Pelodiscus sinensis: one gene and its partners. The protein of the gene in region 3 interacts with the protein of the main gene of each other region in a pairwise test. Links are inferred from orthologs where the notes say so. Each region holds a gene or a part of one and is shown on either strand. Other genes may lie near its edges.

Region 1 (11,021 bases), on a different chromosome or scaffold from region 3:
TCTCCACAAAAGATTGGGCACTGTGCTCCTAGTAGTAACCAATGTGAGTTTCGGTTTTTCCAGTATAGTATATGAGAGCAGCAACCTCCACAAACATCCAGAACATCTGCTGATGCTGCTCTGCACCTGTTGTTCTCATGGTGAAGATAGAGAAGGTAAGGAAATTGTGGCAGGAATGGTCCAAATCTCTTTGTAAGTCACAATATGGTCTCACTGGACCTCTATTTTGTCACACTATGTGAATTCAAAATTAAGTTCGACAGCCAACACCTGAAGCAGTGGGTAGAACTGCCTCAGCAAAACTGAGCCTCACTATTACACTACAGCAGATGTCACCTTTCGAAGGCCACCTCAGAAGCTGTGAGAATGGTACAGTGGGGTTCTGTTGTGTTCTTCTATACTGTCTTATCTTAACTGTGACCTGATTTTTGAAAATGATGCTCATAATTAGATCTTGTATACTGTGTGTGCGCACACATGCATACGTTCATGTATAAGTATATACAATTTGGTGAGTTCTGACTACAGGCAGTCCCCGGGTTACGTACAAGATAGGGACTGTAGGTTTGTTCTTAAGTTGAATCTGTATGTAAGTCGGAACTGGCGTCCAGATTCAGCCGCTGCTGAAACTGATCAGTTTCAACAGTGGCTGAATCTGGATGCCAGTTCTGACTTACATACAGATTCAACTTAAGAACCCCAGGCATCCCCAAGTCAGCTGCTGCTGAAACTGATCAGCGGCTGATTCCAGGAAGCCCGGGGCAGGGGCTTCCTGTAGTCAGCCACTGGTCAGTTTCAGCAGCGGCTGACTTGGGGACGCCTGGGGCAGAGCAGCTGGGGTGCTGCTGGGTTGGTCCAGTAGCGCCGCCGCTCCTCGGCGCTATTGGACCAACCCAGCAGCACCCAAGCTGCTCTGCCCCAGGCGTCCTGATTCAGCCGCTGCTGAATCTGACCAGCAGTGGCTGAATCAGGACGCCTGGGGCAGAACAGCTGCGGTGCTGCCCGGTTGGTCCAGTAGCGCCCAGAGCGGCGCTACGGGACCAACTGGCAGCGCCCCAGCTGCTGTACCACAGGTGTCCGGAGCAAAGCCACGGAGCACGGGGGCAGCGGGACAGCCCAGACGCGCCGTGGCTGTCCTGCTGCCCTCGGGCTCCGTGGCTTTGCTCTGCTTTGCTCCCCGTCCCCCTGGTCTGCAGACTAGGGGGGGGGGGGGGCAAAGCAGAGCCAAGCCGCAGAGGACGCGGCCAGCTGACAGCTGACCGCGCGCTCCGCGGCTTGGCTCTGCTTGGCTCTGCTTTGCCCCCCCCCCCCGTCCCCCTGGTCTGCAGACCAGGGCGATTTTGGGGGGGGCAAAGCAGAGCAAAGCAGAGCCAAACCGCGGAGCACGTGGGCAGCGGACAGCCCTGTCTGCTGCCCACGTGTTCCGCTGCTTTGCTTCCTCTCCCTGGTCTGCTGGAGACCAGGGAGAGGAACGGCCCCGTTCGTAACTGCGGATCCGACGTAAGTCGGATCCGCGTAACTCGGGGACTGCCTGTATACGTAATATTATATACACACCCCATATATATGAAATCCTTATCTATACCTCTAAAATATGAAGCCAACTACTGTATGCAAGCTGCAATCAAGTAGAACCTTCATGGTTCTCAGAATTTGTTCAGAACTGAATAGCAGCAAGTGAGAGAATCCCTAGCAAAACACAGACCTCTACTGATTAAGCTAAAAGGAGTTCCTCTATTAAAAAGGAGGTATAGTGTACAATTGAGCAATTTGATTACTAAATAGATGAAAGAAGCCGCATGACTGAGTGGAATGTAGTTTAAATGTTCGCTTTAGCCTTTGAACCTAAACTAGGGATGTAAAATCCCATGTAATCAGTTTATCTGTTAAAACTTTATGATTAAGCTTAAATGGGATCCTGTGGGGGAAGAGGGCAGGAACAGTCCAGCCTGCAGCAGCCCCCCTGCCCATGGCGCAGTGGGCTGCTCTAGCCTGCCTGGGGCCACCACAAGACAGGGGCTGCTCCCCACGCTCGTGGTGCATTGGGCCTGGCCAGCCCAGGGCCCCTAGACCACCATATGAGCAGGGGGCTGCTCCAGCCCAGGCAGGCTGCCAGTTAACTGGCAAGCATCACACAGTTAACTCATTAACAGCTGACATCCCTAACTTGAACTTCATTTTGGCACACTCACTTCTAAGGATTTACCTACTGATATTCAAAAATATATTCAGCAGATTTATTGTTTAAATTTCCCCATCCTTTCTGGACAGAAAAAGTGATGGCGGCTTAAACTCTATTTGTTTTTATTTTAGAGCTCATGGTAAGAATCTTGTCTTTTCCCATATTTACAGCTATGAATACTTATATAAATAATGATGTTGTCAGCTCTGAATGACGTATTATTGTCCTTAACTTTGTTTATCCCTGAAGTGTCCTGCTTTTTATTTGAGATTTTTAAAAAATGGTATTTTTGTCTCCATTTTCCTTTATTATTTAAATAACCAATGTTCAAACTGTCCTAAAAATTACTGGTTAGTTTCTCAGTTCTTCCTTAATTGCTAAGTATGTTTATTTTTTACTTATGCCCTCAAAATTAGAAATTTTACAAATGTAACAAAATTTTGCTCAATAAATATGGAATAAGAAGGTGGCAAACTCCAGAATTTAAATTAAGTCTGCTTGTGACAACTAATGTGGAGCTCAATCCTGCTACCAAGTAATTCAATGAGAGTCTTTCCCTTGACTTCAATGGAAGCAGAAGAAAGAACCCTTATATTACCTTCCCTATATTGGAGATTTTTTGATACACAAGGGGAAAGTTGCCTCTCTCCTCTCAGATTTGCTACAAATGCTTTAAAGGCATGCTTTATATTTTTGTTGTAAGCAGTCTGAATAAAATTTTTCTTAGACAATGATAGCTTGCATTATTACAATATTCACAAACAGAAGCAGCATTAACAATTAACTAACATGACAATTAGTCTTCCTATCACTGACCCATAAGGGTAATCTGCTTGCTTCACATTTGTGTGTGGATGCATAGATAAGTGCAAGTCAAATATTATTGATACTGTGGACAATGTAGTATACCTCTTACAGGTGGGCCAAGACTAATATTTTAATCACATATATAATTCTCCACTGCAGAGAAGGCCGGAGCAGGTAAGTGTATTGGAAGCAAAGCCTCATATAAACAAAAAAAAACATATACCTAACAGTGGGCATTAGCCGCAGGTACAGCTGAAACATGGTTGACCTACAAGTACAGACAAGGACAAGCTACTTTTGATCTCATCTACACTTGCTACTAGACCATGTTCATAGTAACAGTTCATCAGATGCAAACACTATCAATGCCTGACATCAGCAGTTAACATTTTGAACAATCTTCTAAAAATCAGACCTACCCTCCTTTCTTTCATGGGACAAGCACACTCATTTTAAATGTATTGGTTTCTAGGAATGTGATAAGTATACCTGACAGTATGAAGCAATCACATCTTGAGTTCCATCAAGAGCTATACTTGTATACAGTATATTGAGCAAGCATATTAGCAGCATTATAGACCAACACTTCGGTTAGTCTATAAGGTGCCACAGGACTCATCACCGCTTTTGCAGATTCAGACTAACACGGCTACCCCTCTGATACTCGACATATTAGAAATGATCATGCTAGAGAAGGGTATGTTGTGAGGGAATACTTGGCAACAATTGGGGTCCATTAGAGTGCACTTGGGAAGTACATTGCATGGGAGCAACAACACCACTTGGCTCTTTCTTTCACAGCACTTTTCACCAGAGGAGCCAACTATAATTATCCTTATTTCCCCACATATGAGAAAACAAAGGCATCAGAGGAAGTTTAGGTAGTATGCAAGGAAGATTCCTGGGGGAGCATATAATAGAAGAGAACTAGGGGTATGTCTACACTACCCCCCTAGTTCGAACTAGGGTGGTTAATGTAGGCAACCAGAGTTGCAAATGAAGCCTGAGATTTGAATTTCCCGGGCTTCATTTGCATATTGCCAGGCGCCGCCATTTTTAAATGTCCGCTAGTTCGGACTCCGTGCGCGTGGCTACACGCGGCACGGACTAGGTAGTTCGGATTAGGCTTCCTATTCCGAACTACCGTTACGCCTCGTGGAACGACGTGTACTGGTAGTTCGGAATAGGAAGCCTAATCCGAACTACCTAGTTCATGCCGCGTGTAGCCACGCGCACGGAGTCCGAACTAGCGGACATTTAAAAATGGCGGCGCCTGGCAATATGCAAATGAAGCCCGGGAAATTCAAATCCTGGGCTTCATTTGCAACTCTGGTTGCCTACATTAACCACCCTAGTTCAAACTAGGGGGGTAGTGTAGACATACCCTAGGGGAAGCTGTGTGTGTTTGAGTAGGTGGGAGTGATTAAAAAGGATATCTGGGGGGGGCTTGGATTTATGGGGTAGGTGCCAGGAGACAGGTGAAGGAGCTACAAGAATGTGTTTGAGGGTACCAGAAGGCAGAAGCAATGCAGATGGGGCTCTGGTGCAGACAGAGGAACTTGTGCTAGGTGCCAGGCATGCTGGAGAGCGGGAGTAGGGATTCTGTGAAGGGCAGGTGTGATGGGTAAAGAGCACAGAAGGAGCTACGTGGGGGCTGCTAGGTACAGGTGAAGCGGCTGAGTGGGGGCTCTGGTGCAGGCATTGCTAAGTGCAAGGGGGCACAGGAGCAGGCGGTGCAGGAGAGGGGCTAGGCAGCGTGATGGGTGCAGGAAGGTTGCCGGTGGGGCTAGGCAGGGTGGCCGGGGGAAGAGCGTTGCAAGGGGGCAGCACTGTGGGGGGCAGTGGCGGCTAGAGGCAGCGAGGGGCGCGCGTGCTATGGGCAGGGGGGCGGGGCTGCCGCTGTCACTCACGCTGCGGTTGAAGGAGTTCCCGGGCAGGAGCGGTAGCGCCATCGCTCGTGCCGCTCTCGAGCCCGGCGCCGCCCCGGGGCTGGTGTTGCTGCCCGGACCCCGGCCGCTCGCGCCCCCTGCGCTGCCAGGCGGAGAGGGAACGTCCACGCGCTGTTTGGGGTTCTGTTGCCTAGCGACCTGCGTCTGACATCACAGGAGGAGGTCTCGTGGCCGCGATTGGTGGCCCGGCTGGGGAAGGCTCTGCTCTCGACTGCCCCCTGGAGGCTCGGGCCGGTCGCTTCACGTGCGCCTGCGGGAGACCCCGCCCGTGTGGAAGCAGACCCGGGGCTGGGCTGCGGTGCTTTCCCAGGGACTGGCCGGGCGCGGTGCGTGGCGGGTGGCGGGCGCTGCTCCTCCAGCTCCAGGTCCCGGATTCAGAGGCTCCGGGCGGCATTTCAGTCTGGCTTCCCCTCTCAGGGGCGCTCGGTGTCCAGGCCTGGTGGCTGTGGAGAAAAGTGCCTCCACCCCCGGAAGGTGCAAAAACACGACCCGCAGCGGGCTGTTTCTGTTCGCTCTTGCATGGTGCCCAGCACCGACCATGGCGCTTAGCTCCGCGCGAATGTCACTTTCTGCTCCCCAGGCCCATTCCTTGCCCTTCCAGAATAACATGGCACTACGGAAATGCTGTCAACACGTTCAACTACGTTATCACTGCAATTAAAAAGAAAAACGCTCCTGATGATGTTTTACTCGGGTTCCCACCGTAAATAGTGGTGAGCAGAGTTGTGAGCACAAACCAAAGCTAACAGTGTCCAATGGGAGGTTTAAGCTTTGAATAAGACACTATCTTCGGGGCATTTTGGATGCCCTTCCAAAACATAGTCCAGAAAAGCAGCAGCTAAATGGCTTGTCTGTCCTTGTGTTTCACATATGAATGGTCAATAACTTTCCTCAAAACCATTTTTCACAAAAAATTGGATTTTTTTTTACTTTTTTCAGATTTCAATTTGTAATTAAATAAAAGAAAACCTGAACAGTCCAAAATGAAACGGATCCTATTTTTTGTCCAATAGCTGACATCTTTTCGCCAAAAAAAATGCTTTTATTCTAACATGCCCCCACAGTGCCTCAAAGGCAGTGTAGTTCAGTTGTTTCATATCCTTATTCTACATAGCCCTGACCTGACTCCTCAGCCAGATTTCAGTTCCTTTGATGCACCACAATCATAAAATTCCTATAATGCAGTGTCTCTTCACTAGGAGAGAAGAAGACTGTGATGCATCACAGGCCATATTGTCTGATTAGGGAGCCCAGCCTAAAGAGAAAAATGGAAACATGAGGCACCCAAGTAACTCAAACCTTTTTGCAGAAAAATTGAAATTTTCCCTGGGGAAAATAACCTGTTTTCTCACCAGCTCCTGTTTCAAAGAAAGCGACGAGGAGTCCTGTGGCACCTTATAGACTAACTGAAGTGTAGGAGCATAAGCTTTCGTGGGCAAAGACCCACTTCGTCAGATGCATGTAGTGGAAATATCCAGAGGCAGGAATAAATATGCAGGCCAGGATCAGGCTGGAGATGATGAGGTGATCCAATCAAGGAGGATGAGGCCCACTTCTAGCAGCTGATCTGGAGGTGTGAATTCCAAGAGAATAGAAGCTGCTTTTGTAGTTAGCAAGCCATTCACAGTCTTTGTTTAATCCAGAGTTGATTGTGTCAAACTTAAAGATGAACTGTAGCTCAGCAGTTTCTCTTTGAAGTCTGGTCCTGAAGTTTTTTTGCTGCAGGATGGCTACTTTTAGATCTGCAATTGTGTGTCCAGGAAGATTGAAGTGTTCCCCTACAGGTTTTTGTATGTTGCCATTCCTAATATCAGATTTGTGTCCATTGATTCTTTTACGTAGGGACTGTCCTGTTTGGCCGATGTATATAGCAGTGGGGCATTGTTGGCACATGATGGCATATATTACGTTGGTGGATGTGCAGGAGAATGTACCAGTGACAGTATGGCTGATCTGGTTAGGTCCTGTGATGGTGTTGCTGGTGTATATATGTGGGCAGAGTTGGCACCGAGGTTTGTTGCAAGGATTGGTTCCTGAGTTCGAGTTATTATGGTGCGGTGTGTAGTTGCTGGTGAGAATATGCTTCAGTTTGGCGGGTTGTCTGTGGGCAAGGACCGGCCTACCTCCCAAGGCCTGTGAGAGCGAGGGATCATTGTCCAGGATGGGCTGAAGATCGCTAATGATGCGTTGGAGAGGTTTTAGCTGGGGACTATAGGTGATGGCCAGTGGTGTTCTGTTGGTTTCTTTCTTGGGCTTGTCCCGTAGCAGGAGGCTTCTGGGTACACGTCTGGCTCTGTCAATCTGTCTCCTCACTTCCTCGTGTGGGTATCGCAGTTTACAGAATGCCATACTGTCACTGGTACATTCTCCTGCACATCCACCAACGTAATATATGCCATCATGTGCCAACAATGCCCCACTGCTATATACATCGGCCAAACAGGACAGTCCCTACGTAAAAGAATCAATGGACACAAATCTGATATTAGGAATGGCAACATACAAAAACCTGTAGGGGAACACTTCAATCTTCCTGGACACACAATTGCAGATCTAAAAGTAGCCATCCTGCAGCAAAAAAACTTCAGGACCAGACTTCAAAGAGAAACTGCTGAGCTACAGTTCATCTTTAAGTTTGACACAATCAACTCTGGATTAAACAAAGACTGTGAATGGCTTGCTAACTACAAAAGCAGCTTCTATTCTCTTGGAATTCACACCTCCAGATCAGCTGCTAGAAGTGGGCCTCATCCTCCTTGATTGGATCACCTCATCATCTCCAGCCTGATCCTGGCCTGCATATTTATTCCTGCCTCTGGATATTTCCACTACATGCATCTGACGAAGTGGGTCTTTGCCCACGAAAGCTTATGCTCCTACACTTCAGTTAGTCTATAAGGTGCCACAGGACTCCTCGTCGCTTTTGCAGATTCAGACTAACACGGCTACCCCTCTGATACTTGTTTCAAAGAAGTTTTTCAAAGAGTTGTGCAAATTTTAAAAAGGTCGCTCGCTGTGTGTATGTAGCGCTTGCAATATTCAAATGCCTAACCACTTTCTATGCTGACTAAAGTTCTAAAGACATCCATGAGATACATATATCTTCTATATCCATTTCAATAAATACCTTTTATTTATCTGTATACAGTGAGCCCTCGCTACTTCGCGGTTCGACTATCGCGGATTCACGACTTCGCGGACTTTTTTCATTACATTATGTATATACGTGAATCCGCGATGGTCGAACCGCGAAGTAGCGAGGGCTCACTGTATACATGTTAAATATACATGTCCCTACTTCGCGGATTTTCAACTATCGCGGTCGGGTTTGGAACCTATCTACCGCGATAAACGAGGGTTCACTGTAGTCCCTTAGGAAACACAGTGCATATTCAAGCAGCAAAACTTTAAATTCCAGTAGCTTTCATTTGAAACAGAGGGCTTGAAGGACACTGACACAAAGCATCTTGGAATGCTTACATTATACTAATATTCTTTTTGTGATTTATTTATAGAAGTTTCTTTACACTTCTGGACGTCCAACATCCTAAATCCTGTTTGAAAGCCCCTGTGAAACATAGGCTCAGAGAACTGGAATAAATTGCCTAGAAAGGTTATGGAATCTCCATCATTGGAGATATTTAAGGGCAGTTTGGATAGACATCTGTCAGTTAGGATCGGCACGATGCTTGGTCCTGCCATGAGAGCAGGGGACTGGACTTGATGATCTCTCGAGGTACCTTCCAGGCAGAGTGATTAAACACTGGAATAAAAAAAATTCTACTTTCAAATACATTACACTGTTAATTCATGGTGACAAATTATTTCTACTTTTTAAATTTCTGAGCAAAATAGAATTTTTTGTCCAGTCTTTTTTTTGCTGTTGTGACCTCACTACATAAGCTAAACAAAGAAAAAGATTAAATAGACTAGTGCTGTTTCATAACAACTGCTTATGGACATTTATATTAAGCTATAGGCTAATAACATGATATTGTTGCATTTGCAAAATACTTCTCAATACCTCAGTTTTCAACTCAGAAAGGGCTGAGAAAGTACTGCAAAATTTAATGTAAATTAGTTAGGGACAATTATAAAAAGGTGTGAAAATACAGAAGTGAGTGTGACTTTTCAATCAGCATGGACTCCTATCATTAAAGCCCTATCAGAGCCAAAACAAATAAGCAGAAATGTAAACTTTCAAAGACTCATAGAATACTAGAACTGGAAGGTAATTCGAGTGATCGTCAAGTCCAGTCCCCTGCCCTGATGGCAAGACCAAGCATTGTCTTGATCATCCCTGATAGATGTCTATCCAAACTGCCATTAAATATCTCCAGTGATGGAGATTCCACAACCTCCCTGGGTAATTTATTCCAGTGTTTAACCAGTGTTTAATTTATTCCCCTTTATTCGGCTCTGGTGAGGCCACATCTGGAGTATTGTGTCCAGTTCTGGGCCCCCCACTACAAAAAGGATGTGGACGCATTGGAGAGGGTCCAGGGGAGGGCAACCAAAATTATTAAGGGGCTGGAGCATATGACCTATGAGGAGAGGCTGAGGGATTTGGGTCAGTTTAGTCTGCAGAAGTGAAGAGTGAGGGGGGCTTGATAGCAGCCTTCAACTTCCTGAAGGGAGGTTCCAAAGAGGATGGAGAAAGGCTGTTCTCAGTAGTGACAGATGGCAGAACAAGGAGCAATGGTCTCAAGTTGTGATGGGAGATGCCCAGGTTGGATATTAGGAAAAACTATTTCACTAGGAGGGTAGTGAAGCACTGGAATGGGTTACCTAGGGAAGTAGTGAAGTCTCCATCCCTAGAGGTGTTTAAGTCTCGGCTTGACATAGCCCTGACTAGGTTGATTTAGTTGGGATTGGTCCTGCCGAGAGCAGGGGCCTGGACTTGATGACCTTCTAAGGTCTTTTCCAGCTCTATGATTCTATGATTCTGTGATTTCTTGAAATATGGTGCCTAAAACTGGAAACAACACACCAACTGAGGCCTAATCAGTGCAGAGTAGAGCAGGAGAATGACTTCTCGTGCCTTACTCACAACTCTCCTGTTAATACATCCCAGAATCATGTTTGCTTGTTTTACAACACTGTTGTCACACTGTTGACTCCTACTTAGTTGTGGTCCACTTTGATCCCTGCATTCCTTTCTGCAGTACTTCTTAGACAGTCACTTCCCATTCTGTGGCTACATCTACACAGCTTCCCTCTTCCGCAAAAGCCTATGCAAATGAAGCACGGATTAACATATTGCTGCATTTCATTTGCATCATTAATTAGGAGTCATTTTTGCGCAAAAAAGCGCGTCTACACAGCACTTTTTTACACAAAAACCCTCTCTTGCGCAAGAGCCATTCACCTGAAAATATTAGGAAGAATGGCTCTTGCGCAAGAGGGGGGTTTTGCATAAAAGGCGCTATGTAGATGGCGCCTTTTTGTGGAAAAACCTCTTATGCAAAAATGGCTCCTAATTAATTATGCAAATGATGTGTGGTAATATGCCAATCCGTGCTTCATTTGCATAGGCTTTTGCAGAAGAGGGAAGTGGTGTAGACTAGCCTATATGTGTGAAACTGATTATTCCTTCCTAAGTGGAGTACTTTGCATTTGTCTTTGTAAAACTTCATCATATTTACCTCAGACCATTTCTCCAGTTTGTCCAGATCATTTTGAATTATGACCCTATCCTCCGAGCTCGGTATCATCTGCAAACTTAATAATCTTACTCTCTATGCCATCATCTAAATTGTTGATAAGATATTGAACAGAATCAATCCCAAAACAGACCCCTGCACAACTCTACTTGTTATGCCCTTCCAGCATAATTGTGAGCTGTTAACTACTCTCTGAGAATGGTTATCCAGCCAGTTATGCACCCACCTTATAGTAGTCCCATTTAGCTTGTATTTCCCTAGTTTATTGATAAAAAGATCATACAAGACCGTATCAAATGCTTTATTAAAGTCTAGGTATACCATATCCACCACTTCTCCCTTATCCACAAGGCTTGATATCCTATCAAAGAAAGTTATCGGATTGGGTTGACATTATTTGTTCTTTACAAATCCATCCCG
Region 2 (10,800 bases), on a different chromosome or scaffold from region 3:
AATAGAAGATGTGCTCCTGAGACTGTTCTCTAGAAGCAGAAAACTTCCCAGGTCTAGCAAGAATAAATTCAGGTTATTTATTTAAGTTTACTGATGACTGATGATTTATTTAATGTAGGCTGAATTTATTGCACACATAGGGACTGTATGTTTCCATTTCCTCTCTTTTTCTCCAAGGACTGTGTTCTCTAGCTTCCCACTCAGGAGTTAAGCAAAATAAATAAATACATTAAATAAAACAGCATGGCCCCTTTCAGAGTGCATGCAGAGTCAGAATAGAGATAGGAACAGTGGAGAAGTTGAGCACTAAGACCCAGAGAAGACATTGTTTTCCCCTTGGTCTTGAGGCTTTTTGCCTGTGGCCATTTTGTTTTCTTGATCAAGCCAGAACACAGCTTCCCTGTGGAACCAGGTAAGCAGGGAGTCTGGGGGAGGGAGACTGGAGGTCTTGGGGGGAGGCTGGAGATTGGGCCCAGTTATCCAGTGTGTCGTAGGGTTGCCTGGTGTCTGGTATTTTTGCCTCCTGTCTGGGAAAAAAAAATCAGAAAATATCAGACATTTTAAGTGTCTGGTATTTTCTGATTTTTTTTTTTACTGGACAGGAGGCAAAAATACCGGACTGTCTGGATCAATACCAGACACCTGGCAACCCTAGCTCTGTGTGCCCCTATTTCCCGTTCCACTGGTAAAGGTGACCACCTTTGTTGGACAGAAATAAGGGAAAACCACATGGAAAAGTAAGGGATTACTTAATTTTAAGGGGTATTTTAAAGAAACGCTGTTTCCCTTAGCAAATCGTAAGAACAGCCATACTGGGTCAGACCAAGGGTCCACCTAGCCCTGTGTCCTGTCTTCTGATAGTGGCTCATGCCAAATGCCCCAAGAGAATGAACAGAAACAGGAGATCATCAAGTGATCCCTCTCCGGTCATCCATTTCCAGGATCTGACAAACAGAGGCTGGGGCACCATTCCTACTCAATTTGAGTAGTTCTTTTTTGAACCCTGTAAAAATCCTGGTCTTCACAACATCCTTTTGCAAGGATTCCACAGGTTGACACTGCACTGTGTGAAAAATAACTTAAAATCATAAAATCCTAGGGCTGGCAGAGACCTCAGAAGTCATCGAGTCCAACCCCCTGCCCAAAGCATGACCAACCCCAACTAAATCATCCCAGTCAGGGCTTTGTCAAGTCAGGATTTAAAAACCTCTTGGGGTGGAGGTTCCACCACCTCCCTAGGTAACCTATTCCAAAACTTCTCTTTCTTTGTTTTAAATCTGTCACCTATTCATTTTATTTGATGACCCCTAGTTCTTATGTTATGGGAAGAAATATATAACTTTTCCTTATTAACTTTCTCATTCCTTATTCACTTTCTCCATACCTATCATGATTTTATAGACCTCTATCATATCCCCTCCTCTTTAGTCTCCTCTTTTCTAAGATGAAATGTCCCAGTCTTTTTAATCTCTCTTCATATGGCACCTGTTCCAAACATTTTTGCCCTTTTCTGAACCTTTTCAATGCCAATATCTATTTTTTGAGATGAGGCAACCACATCGGTACCCAATATTTAAGTTGTGGTCGTATCATGGATTATATAGAGGCAACAAGATATTCTCTGCTCTTATTCGCTATTCCTTTTTTAATGATTCCTAACATTCTGTTGCCTTTTTTTGACTGCCGCTGCACATGGAGTCGATATTTTTCAGAGAACTATCCACAATGGCTCCAAGATCTCTCTCTTGAGTAGTTATAACTCAATTAGTCCCTACACATTTTGCATGTGTAGTTGGGATTATTTTCCAATGTGCATTACTTTGCATTTATCAACATTGAAATTCATTTGCCATTTTGTCACCCAATCACTTAATTTGGTGAGATCTTTTTGAAGCTCTTCACTGTTTGCTTTGGTCTTAACTATCTTGAGCAGTTTAGTATCATCTGCAAATTTTGCCACCTCACTGTTTACCCCTTTCTCCAGATAATTTATAAATAGTTTAAATAGGATTGGTCCCAGGACAGACCCTTAGGGGACACTAGTTACCTTTCTCCATTCTGAAAATTGACCATTTATTCCTATCCTTTGTTCCTGTTCTTTAACCAGTTATCAGTCCGTGGGAGGACCTTCTCTCTTATCTCATGACAACTAACCTTTCTTAAGAGCCTTTGGTGAGGGACCTTGTCAAAGGCTTTCTGGAAATCTAAGTACACTAGATCCACTGGATTCCCCTTGTCCACATGTTTGTTCCCCCCTTCAAAGAACTCTAGTACATTAATAAGACATGATCTCATTTTACAGAATCCATGTTGACTTTTCCCCAACAAATTATGTTAATCGGTATTGATGTCAGACTTACCAGTCTGTAATTGCCAGGATCATCTCTAGAGCCCTTTATAAATATTGGTGGCACGTTAGCTATCTTCCAGTCATTAGGTACAGAAGCTGATTTACAGGATTGGTTACAAACCACAGTGAATAGTTCCACAATTTCACATTTGAGTTCTTTGGAGAAAACCAAATGGGCAAAATTTGGGGTTGGAGGTGGGGGTGGAATGGACATAATCTGATAGCACAGCCACAGTGTCCTGTGCCACCAGTGGTACTGAAACTAGAGGTGTTGGGGTGCAGCAGCATCCCCTGGCTTGAAGTGATTTCCTTCAGAGAATCATAGAGTTGGAGGATCAGGAGATCAAGTCCAACCACCCACTAAAAGCAGGATCAATCGCAATTAAATTATCCCAGCCAGGGCTTTGTCAAACTAGGATATAAAAATCTCTAGGGATGGAGATTCCAACACTTCCCAAGGAAACCCATTCCAGCACTTCACCACCCTAGTGAAATAGTTTTTCTGAATATCCAACCTAGACCTCCCCCACTGCAAGTTGAGACCATTGCTCCTTGTGTTATCTGCCACCACTGAGAACAGTCTCTCCCCATCCTCTTTGGAACCCCTCCTTTCAGGAAATTGAAGGATGCTATCAAATCTTCCTTCATTCTTCTCTTCTGTAGACAACCCAAATCTGTCAGCCTCTCCTCATTAAGGTCATTAATAAATATGTTGAAAAAAAACCCAGCCCCAGAACCAACTCTTGGGGCACTCCACTCAATACCAACCACCACTGATCACTACCAATTAAGCCCAACAATCTGGCCAGCTTTCTATCCACCTTATAGTCCAATTCTCCAATCCATACTTCCTTAACTTGCTGGCAAGAATACTTTGGGAGACTGTATTAAAAGCTTTGCCAAAGTCAAGGTATCTCATGTCCACTACTTTCCCCATACTCACAGAGTCAGTTACCACATGACAGAAGGCAATCAGGTTGGCCAGGCATGACTTGACATTTGTGAATCCATGTTGACTGTTCTTATCACTGTCTCCTCTTCTAAGTACATCAAAATTGATTTCTTTAGGATCCCTGCCATTATTTTTCTAGGACCTGAGGTGAGGCTGACCTGTCTGTAGTTCCATGGGTTCTCCTTCTTCCCTTTTTTAAAGACAGGCACTGCATTTGCCTTTTTCCAATTGTCTGGAACCTCCCCTGATCACCATGAGGTTTCAAAGATAATGGCTGATGTTTCTGCAATTACATCTGCCAACTCCCTCAGTATCCTCAGATGTATTAGATCCGGCCCTTTGGATTTGAGTGTGTCCCACTTTTCTAAATAGTTCTAAACCTGTTCTTTCTCCACTGAGGGCTGCCAACTTCCTCTCCATACTGTCCAGTACAGTAGGTTGGGAGCTGACATTGTCTGTGAAGACAGCAGCAAAATAGCATCAAGTACTTGAGCTTTTCCCACATCATCTGTCACTAAGTGACTGCTCTCATTCAGTAAGGGTCCCACACCTTTCCTGATCACCTTCATATTGCTAAGATGTTTTTAGAAGCCTTTCACACCCCTTGCTAGCTGCAATTCCAATTGTGCTTTGGTTTTCCTGATTACACCCCCTGTATGCTCAAGCAAATCATCTGTCCATGTTTCCACTTCTTGTAAGCTTCCATTTTGTGTTAACGCCTGATAAAGATTTCACTGTTAAGCTAAGCTGGTTGCTTACCATATTTGCTTTTCTTACTGTGCATTGGGATCGTTTGTTCTTGCACCTTCAATAAGGCTTTTTAAAAATGCAGCTAGCTCTCCTGGGCTCCTTTCTCCCTTATGTTAGCATCCCAGGGGATTCTGCCCATCAGTTCCCTGAGGGAGTCAAACTCTGCTTTTCTGAAGTCCAGAGTCTGTATTTTGCTGCTCTCTTTTCTTCCTTTGTTCAGGATCCTGAATTCAATCATCTCATGATCATTGCTTCCCAGGTCATCTACTTCCCCTACTAATTCCTTTCCGTTTGTGAGTAGCAGATCAAACTGAGCATGGCCCCTGGTTGGTTCCGTCAACGCTTGTACCAGGAAGTTATCCCCAACATTCTCCAAAAACTTCCTGGTACAAGTGCTGGAGGAATCAACAATGGGTTAAAAAACTCATTTACAGGGTTTGCCGTTTTGTTCAATGGCATTCAGTACACCTACTATAAAAATATTCCATTGCCTCTGAGCACCACAGCAATTGTCTGTTGCTCAAACAATGGTAATACGGGACTTCATCTTTGTTCATTTTCTCAATTTGGAATTTGGCATGTTGACAATATGCTGTTTATCTGCTTTCTGTCTGGGAGGTAAGTTCTATCTGAAGTGAGATTCAAAAGACTGGGACTTTTCAACTTAGAAAAGAGATGACTAAAAAGGGATATGACAGAGGAGTATGAAATTGGGAGTCGTGGGGAGAAAGTGAATAAGGAAATGTTATTAATTCCTTCACAAACACAAGAACCAGGAGATTTCAATAGGCAGTAGACTTAAAACAAAAAGAAGTACTACTTCAGCCAATGGCACCCATTGCCAGGTGATGTAAGAAGGCAGAAATTATAATGGGTTTTAAAAAAACCTCTAGATAAGTTCCTGGGAGATATAAGACCATCTTGGCTAATAGCCATTTGCTGGGCCTATTTTTAAGTTGCTTAACTGGGAAAGAGGCAGGTGGAAATAGCAGGCACAAAGTTCCTTCCAGGGGAATAGAAATGGGGGACCTTGTTGAGGAAGCAAGGGAGAAGGCAAGGTTCACAGAGCTTTCAATAGAGATGCAAGGAATTTTTTAGGATGTGCAGTAAGTTCAGTGTATACAAGCTATGAAGCATGTTGTGACCCTTTCAGTTATGTTAAATCTTTTCCTTGTGGGGTCTGAAGTTATCCAACAAGTCCCTCCTGGCACAGAAAGATCATGGAGTTCAGTGGGAGTCTGTTTATTCAGAGAGCTTGAACCGTTAGGTGCTAGTTTTCTCTTCACAAACTAATGGTTTAATTGCTTGTAACTAGGGTTAAATGTATTTAGTTTCAAATAATTATCGCATTCCATTGAGGGGGCTGGGATTCGAACCCAGGACCTAGAGGTACCTGCTGTGTGTTAGATCCTAACAGAACCTCCCTGGTGGAGATGAGGGCGGGATTGTACGGTAGCTTCGCCACCATTGGCTGAACTTGAAAATGATTGACTTCACTCGCACCCTTCAACTTTTGCGTCTGCCGTCTTCCATAAAAGGCGGGATTTAAGGCAGCGCCGCCACTATTGGCTAAGGGAGGGATGAATAGCATACGCATCACCCAGTGGGATGTAGGGGGCGGGATTTGATGGAAGATCCACCCCTATTGGATAGCGGAGATATTTGACGTGGGCGGCCACCAATGGGACCGAGGAGCTGGGATTCCGCGCGCAGTTCGGAGCGGTTGCGGAGGGTAGAGACGTCCCAGCGGCGGGACACCTGAACGGGGGAGGGGTCCGCAGCCATGGCGGGGGCCGGCTCCGGCTTCTACGCCCGGGGCGGGGGCGCCGACTCGCCGCCGCTCTTCAGCCTGAGGAGGAGATCGAGGCACCAGGGGCCGGAGGAGGCGGTGAGTTGTCGGGGGAGGCTGAGGCGATAGTGGGCGGGGCTTGGTGATAAAGGGGCGGGGCCAGGAGGAGGGACGAGCAAGCTGCATAGGGGGCGGGGCTTGGAGCGAGATGAAGGGATGGGGTGGGCGGATGCAAAGGAGGCGGGGCTTGGACAATTGGGGGCGGGGCTTGGGAGGTGGAGAGGGACTGAGACCAGGGCAAGGAGTGGGACTTAAGGGGCGACATGGGGCGGGTCTGAGAACTTTTGGGGCTGAGTGGGTGGCTGACTTAAGCAAGGGGGGTGTCTTGGGGGGAGAGAGGTGGGAGGGGGCTATGACTTGAGATCTTCCTGTGCGTGTCTCTCCCAGCCCCCTTTGGATGTAGAATGCAAATCCTGCCCCTGGGCAAGGACAGGGGGCTTGGTGGGTCTCACGGTCTTTGGGGAATGGGTATGTGGCTCTGTGCGTGTTTGAGGATGGGGATTAGCAGGTCTCAGTGGGAGCAGGGGGTCTGCGTGGGAAGAGTTACAAGTTCCTAAGAGCCCCTGGCTGCTTCAGGAGCCTGAGTGGTTACACAGTTTGTCATCCCGTTTGACCTCTGCGTTTGCTTGTTGCCCTCATGGGCTTTCTCTTCACTGTACGCAATTCCCTCTCTCTCCCTTGGCTAAATAATTAAGTGAATCTAGAAATCCTTGAGGAGACACATCGTGAGTTGTTCTTTATTTTGACAAAGTGAGCCCTTGGTGTGTTTTTTGTCTGGGGGTAAATAACCTGTTTTCCTATCTTGACTATGCTTTTGCCTTGAGGTAGCTCAGGTGTTATCATGAGATTAAAAACTCATACCTTTAAAAGCAGTGAAGACCAAGCTATTCCCTCCAGCTCTGGTTGACCCACAAACTAAGATCCTGAAGTAAAAACTACAGAGTCTTGTCTCCACTATTGTTTTCCAGGGAGTTAGCTGTCTTGATGTACACACATCATTTTATACTTAAGTTACTGTCCTATCTTCTGATTAGTCTGTTTTTCTTGTTTATAGCTCATTCAGGATTCCATGTTCCAGTGCAGTGAAACAGCAGGAATTGTTAATGTCTAAAAATGGATGATATTTTGAAAATCATGGAAACTGATTTTTACAAAGCCTACTTTTAAAAAAGTCTTGTGACCACATCCCTTCAAAAGTAGCAGATTGGAATCCTGAATGAACAAAACATTTGAACAAAACATTTAAGTTACCAATGTCTCCATTCACATTTCTGTTTTTCCTTTCAGAGAGATTGTATCCACATCTAAGTCTTTGCAGGGAGTTGCAGGGTCTCCCTGCTGTGCCATGGATTTCGTTCTGTGACCTTAGACAAGTTACTTATTCCATTTCTATGCTGTAGTGCAGGGCTACTCAACATGTGTCCCATTTGTTTGCGGCCCGCGGAGCAGTTTGGTTTTACACGAGGCTCAACACGCGGCATGCGGGTGGGATCATTTGGACATGGCCTCCACAATGGAGAGGCGTCTCCCAGGTGGGGTGACCATTCAAAAACGCAAGCGGAAAGGCTGGCTGGAACAGACGGGTACAAGGTGTCGGCGTTTCTAGCCCCCAAGGAGGAGGTCCCGGGAGTGCCGGGGCACTGTGGGCAGTGGTGGCTGCTTAGTGTTGTGGGTAGAGAGCTGCTGACCTGACTCACAGTGGCCACGTTTGGGTCTGGTGCTGCAGCTTGATTTTTGTATTCATGCCCGTCAGTGTGAAAGAAGCTATTTGCATATATATTTGCATATATATGCAACCACACTTAAGTTGCGGCCCTTGGCATGTGCTGTGAGTATTATTGTGGGCTCCCCCGCCGGGGCTTCCAAAGTTGAGTAGCCCTGCTGTAGTGGCACAACGATGGGGCTGCAGCTGCGCAGTTTTAACACTATAGTGTAAATGCTTCCTCCATTCAGGGATAGGGTTTTCCTGTCAATTTTAGTTAATCCACGTTTCTGAGAAGTAATGGCGATTGATAACAGAAACTTCACAGAATTCTTCCAAGCTATCTGTATTTACACTGGTGATTAGGTTGACGTAACTGTAGAGCTCAGGGCAGGAGATTTTTCACTGCTTTGAGTATGTCTACACTTGGTCAAGAAAACTTGATCAACAAAACTTTTTTTGTTCACCGGTGATTTTAACCCTCTTCTGAACAAAAGTTTTGCCGAGGCAAGTGAAAGTGTGAACACCTGCTTTGTTGACAGTGGTGCCCTGCTGTTGACAAAGCAAAACCCCTTCATTGGTGGTGGAAGTATTTTGCTGACAAAAGTGCACATTTGCACATGCAGACTTTGGCTATGTCTATACTGCCAAGTTTTGTTAATACATTTTATGTCGACAAAACAAAAATAGCCAAAAGGTGTTCGCACTTGCTCCCTCTGTCAACTGATCATGTCCACCCTGGGGGCCAGAGGTGACTGATGATGGGGATGGAGGGTGTGCCGGCCACTCTTCCTCCCCCACCTGGAAAAGGGCTGGGTTACCCCTCTTCTGCCCCAGGCTCCACCCCTACTCTTCTCCACTTGCTCCGCTCCTCCCTTCCTCCTCCCCCAGACAAGGTGGTCCAGGGGACTAGTGGGGCCACATGGTGTCAGTGGCAGGATTCCATGCTGCCCTCCCCCTGCACTCACAGCAGCAGCGGGGAAGGTGCAGCAAGTGTGTGGGGCTGCTGGCTCCTGGTGCCGGCCCCGCTGAGTGTTGGTGGTGGGGGGACAGGAGCGGATCCCACTTACACAAGTAACATGTTAAACATAAGGTTTAACCGGTTAACTGACTTAACCAGGATTTTACATCCCTACTGGTTGAAGCCAGTTCTGTCGAACAACAAACTGTAGAGTCTACACTGGCTCCTTGTCAACAATAAAAGAAAGGGGAAGGGGGGAAAATAGTCTCTCATAGGAGTGGAAATTGTGTGTGTCAGAAACTGGGAGATTCTCCCAACAAAATTTGCATAGCAGCATGTATCCTTTCATGGTTTTGTCATGAAAAGGCAGTTTATGTCGACAAAACTTGATAGATACTTACTTTGTAGCAAAATGGGCAAATGGGAGCTGTGAAGATTTTGCTGGAAGTTGGGACAGTGCATGAAGTTTCCTCCCTTTTCTCCCCTGGGTGCACGGCGCGGAGAGGCACATGGCCTCAGCAGCTGGCCATTTTGAGCCACTTGGGGCTGGGGCAAGCAGGGAGCCTGCCTAGAGTCCCACCGGGCTGCTGGCCAGGAGCCGCCTAGTGAGTGCCACCCAGCCAGAACTTGTATCTGGCATTCAAGCTCCTCCTGTACCACAGTTCCCTGCCCCAGGTCACATCTCCCTCCCAAACCCTGCATCCCCTTCTGCATCCCTCCTCCAGGCTAGAAACCTCTTCGCCATCCATATGCCATTTCTGACCCTGTAGCCTCTGCTGCACCCCAATCTCCTGTTCCAGGTCATAACTCAAACCCTCTGCATCCCTCCTACACCCCTCTGCCAGGTCAGAATCCTCTTCTGTACCCATACCCCTTCCCAGACCCTGCACCCTAATCCCCTCCCTCAGGTCACCATCCCTTCCTTCACCCAAACTACCTCTGAGACCCCCAAGCCCTCTCCTTCTGCACCCAAATCCCTTACCCTGAGCTTCCTTCTGCACCCAATCTTCGTCCCAGACTCCACACTCCCTTCATAGAAAGTTGTAGCCCTTGAACGCTTTCTAAAATATTGGAATCCCCGCCCCATCAAAAATTATTGCCCACCCCTGCCTTAGGCTTTCTGGCTCAGATCCTCAAAGGTTCTCAATAGTACTCAAGCATTGAAATACCTTTGAGAAGCTGGGCCTCAGTTCCCCATCTATAAAATGGGGCTACTGCCTACCTCACCGGAGTGTAGAGGATAAATGCTTTAAAGATAGAGAAGTGTTCAGATACTGTGGGAGTGGTATGGCCCGATAAGTACCTACACTGACACTTATATTGTAATAGCTAGCTTGAACAGGAATGTGGTAAAAACCCACTCCTGTGACCAACATAGCTAGGGTCTCCCCTCCCCCTCCGTGTAGGCACAGCCAGGCTGAAAGAAGAGTACAACATCCATCTGGGGGTGGTACTTTTTCCACATAGGAAGAAAAGTCTTTTATGTCACTGGTAGGTTGCATCTACACTTGGGGACTGTGCCAATAGAGACTAGTATACACATAGCCTAAGATACTTATTTTGATCTCTAGTTCTGGAAGATTGCAGAAAAAATATTTCCAGGCACTTTTTAAAAGCCTGAACATATCTTCTTTAATGATTAAACAGTGCTTCCATTTTTAATAAAGTTCAGTGTTAAGGTGGGAGCTTGTGCATGATTATTTGCTTGAATTTTCATTGGTTCCCTCTTACCTGATTGGGAAATCTTGTTTTCCTACTTGCCTCAAGAAACCAATAATTGGAAGTTATAAATAATCTCTTGCAGTTCTGATTGCACTGGTCTTCAATATTTTTCTCCCTTTTTTTGGGCAGGTTATGCTTGAGAAAGTGCTGGGAATAACTACCCAAACCAGTAGCGGTTTAGCTTGTGACCCAAATACCGGGCAGATAGCATATCCTGCAGGGTAAGTGACTAAACGTGAAAATGTATAAGTTTATGATTTGTCTGTCTCAATGATTATAGCAGTATTTCCCAGTTGGTGCTCTGTGAAACCCTGGGGTTCTGTGAAGCTAAAGTAAGGGTTCCCCCGCCCTCTCTTAAAGAGACAGAGGCAGGACTCAGCATTTTTTTTTTTTGCTCGACAAATTTTACACTAGGGGTTCCTTGAAATTCTTTCAAGGTGAAAAGGGTTCCACGGCCAAAAAAACTGGGAAACACTGGATTATAGAAACCACTGCAACATACAGATGAATAAGT
Region 3 (10,255 bases):
GTCAACTAAATTTCTTGATACTAGTTTCTTCACTGACAATACTTTATTTGACCTATTATATGTCATGGGTATGCACAGCACACTCTCAGCATTCTGACTGTAGATCCATATCAGTAGGCCCAACACTGTTAAAGAACTTCACTGGAATTTAGCATCACATTCAATTTCAAAAACAGGAGTTTTCAAAGACTGGTATTCTAATTTTATTTAGTGCAACAAATATGACCAATATGGAAACAGAAAACCAAGGTATTCATGCTATGAAAGATGGACATTGATGATAATCTCACCAATATCTTCATAAACTGAAGTCTCTTAGATCAATATTAAGTACTGCCAAATTAAAAGGATTATACAAAAGTGATAATAAAAATATACACATGGTAGTAAGAAAAAAAAGCAGGTTTAAAAATGTCACTGTGTAATCGTTAAAAATCCTAGTGGTTACTCAGTTACACATACTGCAGGCTCTGCAGTATAAAGCTTATATATAAACTTTATGCTGCAGAGTCCACAACGAAGCCGGCTCCCTGGGAGCAGGGCCAGCAGAGGGTGCAGCAAAGCCTGCTCACCAGGAGCGGGGCTGGCAGGGGTTGCAGTGAAGCCAGCTCCCTACAGGAGCAGTCCCTGCCTGTAGTGGGCCCCACAGGTCTGGAGCAGCCCCCTGCCCATGGCAGGCAGGGAGCTGCTCCAGCCTCTACTAGTTAAGAAGAACTAGTAAGTGTTTACTGGTTAAACATTTACATCCCTAACTTCCATACACTGGGTGGCTCAATCTGAAAGCTATTTTGTTTTCCAACAAGTTGTTGCAACCATGAGAAAAGTTCCAGAAGCACAACATAATACAGCACTTCAGATGCACTAAACTTGTGAATACATTTTAGCAAATATACACTATTTAAAGTGTAATTGTAGTCAGTAGAGTGCCTAAGCAAAAGTGGCGTGTTTTTGCTAAGCAGATTCATTCTCTGTGTATCTTCAAGTCACATCTGCTTACTTCATAGCCAAACCAAGTTACTACTATTAGTGCTGCACTCTAAATACAACCCTGGGGAAATATACTTCTACAAAACTGATTATGTTTTTGCTGAAGACTCTTTATTGCTGGCAATGAAGGGCAAAGAATCTCAAGGATCATAACTTGATTTTTAAATCCCAGACTGATTCCAAGCCTGATAGGTAGCATAAAAAGATCTAATCTGCCAAATTTATACATTAAAAGATGAAATCACTGAGACAAGATGTGGAAAGACTCAATGTCACTTTGTTTTTGACTAACAATTTTTCTAGCATAAATGCACTTAAACTCAGCCTGTACCTTACTGTTAGATCAGAGGTCCCCAACCTGTGGGGTGCTCACACCCCGCAGTGGTGTGAAGAAACATTCAGAGGCACCAGGGGAAGAGAAGTCAGGGAGGGAGCACTATCTAGCCCCACTCTGCTCCCAGATCTATTCAGGCTAGGGATGGAAACGACTAGTTGATTAGCTGACCATCTGATATGCACTTACTTGTCAGACAGTCAACTAGTGATGTGACTAGTCGCTCTCCCTCCCCCCTCGCTGCCTCTACCAGAGAGAGGAAGCAAAGGGGGGGAGCAGGAGTTGGGGGGGAGCCGGCTTAAAAGCCGGTTCCCCTAGCACAGTCTTTGCAGGGGGGTAGAGGAGGTAGAGGGACAGTGGAAACGCTTTTGCTGTGATTCTGCTTTTGAAATGTACAAGAGCTTCAGAGGGGCCTCCTTTTGAAATGTACTAGAGCCCGCTGGGGCTCTTGTACATTTCAAAGGCTCAGGCACTGCAGGGCCATTCTCCTGCTGGCCCTGCACTCCCTGGGGTGCTTCCGCCTTTGAACTGTAGCAAGAACCCCAGTAGGGCTCTTGCTACTGTTCAAAAGCGGAGTCGCCCTTATAGACTAATCCAGGGGTCTCCAAACTTTTCAGCCCGAGGGCCGCATTAACTATCAAACAGCAGTTCGGGGGCCGACTACACACTTGAGGTCCAAATAAAAAACAATCAAAACATGGATGTTGTTTTAATTATTTAATATTATTTTATTCAGTTATTATTTAATAACACATTGATACACTACACATGAACACCTGTATTAGTGTGAATGGTGAAATTGTTTCCTGGATGCCAAAATAGCAGACATTTCTGGCTTTAGATTTGTTGTCCCTAACATCAACAGTGACCTGAGATTATCATCGGACAAGTTTGTTCTCAAATTGTTCTTCACGTAATTTTTTTTCCGTAGACAAAAAGGTCTCCACGGGCCGGATGAGAGGGCCTCGCGGGCCGCATCCGGCCCGCGGGCCGTAGTTTGGAGACCCCTGGACTAATCGAATAGTCAATGGAAATCCCACTGACTATTCAATTAGTTAATTAATCTAAATTTAACAACCCTAATTCAAGCCCAGGTCCAGCCCTGGTATCGGCTCCGAGCCATGGCTCAGGTTCTATTCCAGGGATGGGGAATCTTTTTGGGGTCAGGGGCCACTGACCCACAGAAATAACAGTTGGGGGCCCGCACGCAAGTGAGAAACAAAAAAAACCAAAAGACTAATCCTCACTGATGTGGCCCTTAACTAAGGAGAAAAACACGTTCCACATTCCCCTCACACACCGGGGCCTGGGGGGCCTAGGCTAGTAGATTCAGTGTGCTCCAGCTCCGTGGGGGAGCGAGAGATTGGGGTGCCAGCACAGGCTCCCCAGTGCTGGAGGGGGGAGCCCTAAGCCTCAGGGGCCAGATCCAGGCAAGCTGGGGCCCACCCCTGCCCTATTCCCAATTGTACCCCTGCTCCCAGGCAGTTATGGCCTGCCCAGGGCCCCACTTCTGGCCACGACCCTAGGCCTGCTTCTGTCCCTTGCTCCTGGCCGCAATTCCAGCCCCTGCTATTGGCCAACTCCCAGCTTTTGGTCCTACTTCTGGTGTCCCAGTTGCGAGCCCAGCTATGGCTCCAAACACCCTGGAGCATTAGGCTTTTAAGAATACACAGTTTTCAAACTAATAATATTGACAGTGAATTAATTCTTGGAAATCAGTAAACTAAGACAGCATAAACTGCTACAACTCCTGGTCTACGTCTAGATTGCATCCCTTTTACGGAAAAGGGATGCAAATTAGACGTATCCCAATTGCTAATGAAGCAGGGATTTAAATCTCCCCCACTTCATTAGCATAAAAATGGCTGCCGCTTTTTTTTTGGCACAGAGCTTTGCCGGAAAAAAAGCGCCATCCTAGACGCAGATCTTTCGGAAAATAAAGCCTTTTCCGAAAGATCCCTTATTCCTTATTTTAAGAGGGATAAGGGATCTTTCGGAAAAGGCTTTATCTTCCGAAAGATCTGCGTCTAGGATGGCGCTTTTTTCCGGCAAAGCTCCATGCCGAAAAAAAGCGGCAGCCATTTTTATGCTAATGAAGCAGGGGAGATTTAAATCCCCGCTTCATTAGCAATTGCGATACGTCTAATTTGCATTCCTCTTCCAAAAAAGGGATGCAATCTAGACATAGCCCTGCCATATACTAAGAGATGTTAAGAGTTTAACCAGTTAACTGATAAAACAATACTTATTGATTAATGTAACCAGTAAAATGCTGCTCCCCTGGGGAATTGGCTGCCCCTCCCTCCTACCCCCACCACGGCTTTACATTTGAGCTTGGAGCCTGCAGGCAGGTTCAGTCCAGGCACATGCCGGGTCTTGGCAGCTGACCCCACTCTGCTGCAGCTCTGCATTTCTGCCTGCTGCCTCCAAATTTAAATGCAGAGCCGCAGCTTGACAGCAGGACCAGCTGCTGGGACCAGCACATGCCAGAACTGAGTTTGCCAGCTCCTACTGCAGAACCCACTGTGGGCTTAGTACATCCCCAGGCTAAACTAACAGTTAACCGCAGACCCCATAAGACATTTAATGGGGTTGCAGGCAGTGTAATATGGGCACTGGTGTGGCGCCTCAGGAGAAATTCAACTGCAGCCCAGCAGAGCGCCCACAGCTATGTTTTGTTTCTATGGTGGTGCACATTTGCACATGCTTCCGTGCTCATAACATTATTCCACACGTGGATGGGATTGCTGAGAGGGAACACCGGCCGGGGGGGGGGGTGTCATTTTTGTCGCCAGAAGAGGGTAGCGGGGTTTAGAGAACCCCGCCCTGCACTAGACCCACAAGAGCCGAGTCGTAGCGGGCCTGTCCATCACGGCTGCTCGTGTTCTCCGGCGGAGCCGGGTCGCAAGGACTTTCCCACGGAGCGATCCCACCCGCAGCGGCGACAGCTCGCCCTGCAGTTCGGCTACTCGCGCGCCGCCCTCCCTCCGGCGGCACCTCCCGGCCGGGCGGGCGGGCGCTCACCTGAGGCGGGAGGATGCGAGCCGGGCAGGAGCTCGCGGCTCTGACAGACTGCGGCAGCGGGGGGAGGGGGCCTGGCGAAAATACAGCGCCCCGGCCCGCTGCGGGGGAGCTCCAGGGCCAGGCCGGGCCCCAGAGCGCGGGAGGAGGGGCGGCAGGGAAAGTTTCCGGCGACAGCTTCGCCCTGAGGGGAGGCGGGCTCGCGGCACCCGCGCGCAGTGGCGGGCGAGGGTCTCGCGCGAGCCGCCGCCCCCTCCCCCAAGGCCTGGAGACTCCTCCCCCCTCCCCGTTCCGCCCGCCAACGGAAACCGCCCGGCCGTTGGTTCCCCTTCTCCCCCGCACCGCCCCTCCCCCCTCACCGTCTCCGCCTGAGGCTCGGCGCGCGGGTCCTGCGGTCGCCGCTTCGCTTCTCCGCCTGCCCGGGCCTCCCTCGCCACAATGGCCTCTCTCGTCACAGCCCCCTCACGGGCCGCGCCAGGTCCGGACCCGCTAACAGACAGCCACGCCGCCCAACCACTGCTCCCCGCTCGCCGGCCGCAGCCAATCAGGCCGTGGGGGCGGGCCGCGCTAGCCACTACATAAGGAGGGTGGGGGGACTGCAGTAGAGGCGGGAGGGTCTGAGGGATCGTTTTCTGGGTGGCAACGGCAAGCTCCTCGTGGTGATGACGTCACCAATCTGTGTTAGCCTGTTCCCGTTGTTGTGATGTCATAAGTGTGATGTCATCTCACACCACAATGCCAGTCAACGCTTCAGGGCAAAGCACCAGTGTCAGGTAGGGTTGCCAGGGGTCTGGTTTTGTACCAGACAGTCCAGTATTTGAGCTTTCTGTTCCCGCAACAGATTGAGAAAATAGAAATGTCCGGTATTTTCTAAATAAGATGCAGTGTAGATTGTGATGTAATGTCAAGTGTGTCCGGTATTTTTATTGAAACCAGCTGGCAACTCTACTGTCCCCAGGGTGGCGAGGTCAGTCCCTCGCAGCAAACGGCTGTCGTGCCTAGCCCTGACGTCATAAGAAGACCCTCATGTTGCCACATGCTGATGCCATCCCTTCCTGTCAGGATGGAGCTGGGCGCTCATTGCATCACAATGAGTCTGCTTTCCATCAAAATTGTAGGAGACTGTGATAGGAGGTGACCACTCTGCTGCTACCGAACCATTCCAGTGATTCGGCAATGCATGGCTGCCACATTTCCTTACCGCATAGCCACCACTGGAAAAGGGGGAAGGAGGTCACTGTAGGTAGCACAGCCTCCCCCACTCTGTTAGTTGTTAAACATATGAATAGCTCTTGTAATCCACAGCATTGGTGTAAAATGCCACAGTATGTGTTTAGAGTAGAGGATGACTGAGCATTAAAAGCCCAGTGAGGGGAAATATTTAGCCACCGAACTCACAAAAATCTACATTACAAGCCTGCTCTTCCGTACTCATTCCCTCCCCACCTCAATCTTCAGACTGCTTGCTTTGTAAAACTGCTACTGACTAAAAAAATACAACCTTAACACAATCTACATCAATGGGTGGTAAGTGACTCAATGCTTGTGATGGGCTGGACCCCCTGGTAGGCTGAGGTAACACTGAGCTTGCCTTTTCTGCCAGTCTGGGCATCCTTTAATCCTGTCTCCTTGTGTCAGGCTCTTAAACGTCTTCAGAGCACGCACACACAGGGGTTGCACCCAACTGCAGCATGATACCGACATTGATACCAGCTGTGGGAAGGCTCAGTTTAAGGGACTTGCCACAGCACGCAGGTGGCCACCTCCCTTAAAGTGCAAGCCCAACATTATATGAAAATCTGCCTCCTCTGTTGATGTGGAGTAAGATATGCAAAATTTCTCTCCCCCACTGCCACTAGAAATTACATAAACTGGGATATATTGTAAAGAAATAAGTTTAACTACATAAAGATTGATCTAAAGTGTTTATAACAGATAGCAATCTGCTCTTCTCTTTGCTAAGAAAATACAAAGCATGCAAACTGCTTAAGTCAGTTGGCTAACAAACAATAATGCCTCACCCTAGATATTATTTAGGTAGATTATTTTACAGGCCAAGTATCTTGCCAGCCTGAATCAGGCAATTCTTCTCCCACCCTGTTCCGGTCCTTTTATTTCCTGTTATTTTCAAGCATCTCTTTGGGTGTGGAGGCAGAGGAGAAGCAAACTGAAGGCTTTGATTGTTTTCCTCTTCCATCTTATAGGATTTCCATACGGCACAAATCCTTTCATTCCCCCATCTCCCAAGTGGAAAAGTCCAACACTCAAAGATGGAGGCTAGTAACAGGTGACCAGATCACTTAACGCCGTAGGATCACAGCATCCATGAGTCAGTGGCAGTATGGAATGTCCCCAGGAAGGCCAAGTCTTTTCACACAAAAAAACTTAAAAAAACAAATAGTCTTGCAGGACCTTAATGTTTTTTCAGTTAGGGTATGTCTACACATCAAAGTTATTTCGAAATAACAGCTGTTATTTCTAAATAAATTTCCTAGTGTCTGCAAGCCAACCGCTATTTCGAAATTAAATTGAAATAGCGGAGGGCTTATTTCGAAATTGGTAAACCTCATTCCACAAGGAGTCACGCCAATTTCGAAATTGCTATTTCGAAATAAGTGCTGTGTAGACACTTATTTCAAAATAGGGGGCCTCCAGCCCTTCCCAGGGTGCCCTGGTGGTCACTCTGGCCTCAACCAAGAACACTCCTCTCCCTTCCCCACTTCCCCGGAGCCCTTAAAGAGGTAGACTCTGGCCACAGTGCCTGTGCCAGCTCCAAGCCTGCCAGCCCAGAGCCAGCAGTCACTACTCCTGACCTAGTGGCCCCAAAACATGAGCCAGCAAGCCACTGGCAGCCAGTCCTCCACCACTCCCCAGGAGCAGTCTGCCAGCTCCCAGGAGCTTGCCAGGGCCTGGAGAAGGCGGGCACCTTCCTGATCCAGTGCGGAGATCATGGACCTTATTCAGGTTTGGGGGGGTGCCCCCAACGTCCATGATCTCCACACTAGATGGGGGAACGCGGCCATCTATGGCAGGATAGCTGCCAGCCTGGCCACCAAAGGCCACATGTGAACCTAGGAGTAGGTTTGCATGAAAATCAAGTTGGTCCGGCGAGATTCCCCAACCCTGAACTTCCCCTCCCCCTTCTTCCCCTTGCTTCCTCCTTCCAGCTCCCTCCTCCCAGGTTTCTCCCTCCCCTCTCCCATCCGCTCTCCTCCTTTCCCCAGTCTCACCAGAGTTTCATCCCACCTCCATTTTGTTAAATAAAGAGAGTTTGTGTTCATGAAAATACATGTATTTTATTTTACATCAAGAAAGGGGGTTAGGGAGTGGTAAGTGGAAGGATATGAGGGAAGAATGACGCACAAGCCCTCAGTGGGGCAGACCAGGGAGGCTCTTAGTGCCCCGTAGGGTGGAAGCTTTCCCGCAAGGCCTCCTGGATACTGACAACCCCCCGATGGACCTCCCGGATGGCAGCCTGCAGAAAGTGCAGTCAGGCTCGCAGCAACGTGTCCACGAGAAGCACCAGAGTGCCCAGGGGCAGCTCTGGTTCCATGTTGCAGAGTGCTGTGGTGTCCCGAGTGAGGGCAACTAGAGCACGCAGAGACAAAATGCTTTGCTGTCCCTCATCGAGGTAGGCAAGCAAGCAGGGAAACCTGAGAATCTGCTGTTCAGGAGGGGTTCCTTTAAGCACAGGCCTCGGATAGCCTCAGGCAGCAACCACACAATCTGAGATCTGAGGAAGTGGGTCTGGCCCACGAAAGCTCATCATCTAATAAACCATCTTGTTAGTCTTTAAAGTGCTACATTGTCCTGCATTTTGCAACCACACAATGTAACTCCTGACCTGATGCCCTGCCAGACCTGGTTCTAGCCGGCCTTAAATGTGATTCAGCGTCCGCTCAGTGTGGACGTGCTATTTCGAAATAGCCAAATGCTATGTTGAAATGCATTTTGTGTGTAGATGCGTTATTTAGAAATATCTTATTTTGAAATAACTATTTCAATATTAGATATTTCGAAATAACACTGTAGTGTAGACGTACCCTTACAGACTAACAGGGGCCCTCTGAAGCCTTTTCACAGTCCATTGCTGTCACTGATGGGCCATCAGCCCTGTCTGGCTTTTCCATTGTTTTACCTGTAGTGTTAGCAGTAGGTGTTACTCTCTGTAGCATAGTTGAAATACAAATAGAAATATTGACTATGTAACTTCAGATACAAAAATGATATAAGTATACAAGTTGGATAGTCACATTCAGTAAATCATAACCTTTCCAATACCTTATCTGAGCCATCTCAAGGTCTCTCTCAATTATGAAGAGTGATAGAAATGTAGCCATGTTAGTCTGGGGTAGCTGAAGCAAAATGCATTTTGCTTCTCTCAATTATGTCATCCATATCATAAGCTTATTTGCATAAAGATATGGAGTGTAACATCACAATGAGCATTTCTACCTCTGTCTAGTCTCCCCTCACTGTAATTTTAAAATTTTTTTTACTGAATTAACGTGCTTTAGACTAGTTATCAAATTGCCTTAATACTGCACTTTTTGGCAATACAAGAAAACTAGCTGCTCAATAAACAGAAGAAGCCCTTTCCATCACCTGCCAAAAAATTCTGTTCAGCAGATGCCATTGGCTTCCATGCCTGATTTTCACTATACCTTTTTTTGGTGTAGTACTGGCTTTTGACAAGTAAAACAAACTGTGGGAGCTTCAGAACTATTTACCAGAAATTACTACAAGCAGCTATTGTAGCACTGTCAAGCCATCCAGTTAAGTATTAAAACATCTCTATTTAAAAGCAACTCTGCAGGGAATATCTTGTATGTATATACAAACAAAAAATTCTTGACAAGTACATGCATGAGCCATTAAAAAAAAAATCACATTCAAAGCTTGAGTTAAGGTAATTCTTGAATGGTCTGCTGTGAGAACTTAGAGCACTTCACTCTTATAGTTAAATTCCCTTGAGGTTTGTAATAGCTCCTCTGTGTTAGCCCGCAACTATGTTTACATAATATAAAAAGTACAAATGCAGAATTTTTGAAAATGCATAATTTAAGATGGGGATTTTTAAATTTTAGATATAGCTTTCTGTATTACCAAAACAATCTTAATTTTTCATATTTGCTAAAAGCTTAACTAAAAATGTAGTGCAGTATGGGGGGATTCTATTGTACATTTTAAAGAGCCACTGTATCTGAAGGTCAAGTCATCCTTCAAAGCTGGAGTTCTGGATTTTATCATTGAGACTACATAGGACAGGTTTTGTAGTTGATATTAACATGCTTCGGAGTAGAAGCTGAGCAGCTGATATATTATTGCAATTATCCAACTGTACAGAATGAAGGGGTTGAACCAAAAGTGTTTGATAAGCCGTTGGAAGAAACACTGAGAATTTCTGCATGAAAACTGATCAGTTTTTCCTGTGTGGTTTGATATCCTATCAAGGATTTTACCACACCCTGTGTTCTCGAGATTTGTGATGCCTGCTTCATATGAAAAAATGTACAGTAATAGACTCTGCTGAACCATTATGCATATATAGCCCCAACAACGGACACAGCTCAGTCAGTGCCAGGAATGAGACAGTGCCCCCTAGGTCAAAGACAGTGCCTCCAAGATACAATTTTATATACAAGTTACACATCACTCCTGGGCTACGTCTAGACTGGCATGATTTTCCGCAAATGCTTTTAACAGAAAAGTTTTTCTGTTAAAAGCATTTGCAGAAAAGAGCGTCTAGATTGGCACGGATGCTTTTCCGCAAAAGCACTTTTTCCGGAAAAGCATCTGTGCCAATCTAGACGCGGTTTTGCACAAGAAAGCCCCGATCGCCATTTTCGCCATCGGGGCTTTTTTGCGCAAAACAGTTTTCAGCTGTCTACACTGGCCCTTTTGCGCAAAAGC

What was found.
Region 1: the proteins of MAPK9 (region 3) and EFHC2 interact in binary tests that used the Homo sapiens proteins (3 or more experiments, as listed by UniProt). The two-hybrid records come from large-scale screens. The link is inferred for Pelodiscus sinensis from reciprocal best matches to the Homo sapiens genes MAPK9 and EFHC2.
Region 2: the proteins of MAPK9 (region 3) and WDR62 interact in binary tests that used the Homo sapiens proteins (3 or more experiments, as listed by UniProt). The two-hybrid records come from large-scale screens. The link is inferred for Pelodiscus sinensis from reciprocal best matches to the Homo sapiens genes MAPK9 and WDR62.

What each region holds. Positions count from the first base shown.
Region 1 is NC_134711.1:193,318,427-193,329,447, reverse strand, and holds the start of EFHC2 (EF-hand domain-containing family member C2), read right to left. Parts: upstream 5,073-11,021; 5' UTR 4,942-5,072; coding exon 4,900-4,941; intron 1-4,899. UniProt on the Homo sapiens protein: Microtubule inner protein (MIP) part of the dynein-decorated doublet microtubules (DMTs) in cilia axoneme, which is required for motile cilia beating.
Region 2 is NW_027465849.1:5,099,575-5,110,374, forward strand, and holds the start of WDR62 (WD repeat-containing protein 62), read left to right. Parts: upstream 1-5,728; 5' UTR 5,729-5,835; coding exon 5,836-5,940; intron 5,941-6,269; exon of another isoform or gene 6,270-6,626; intron 6,627-10,415; coding exon 10,416-10,507; intron 10,508-10,800. UniProt on the Homo sapiens protein: Required for cerebral cortical development. Plays a role in neuronal proliferation and migration.
Region 3 is NC_134727.1:33,228,236-33,238,490, forward strand, and holds the start of MAPK9 (mitogen-activated protein kinase 9), read right to left. Parts: upstream 4,898-10,255; 5' UTR 4,702-4,897; intron 4,638-4,701; exon of another isoform or gene 4,346-4,637; intron 1-4,345. UniProt on the Homo sapiens protein: Serine/threonine-protein kinase involved in various processes such as cell proliferation, differentiation, migration, transformation and programmed cell death.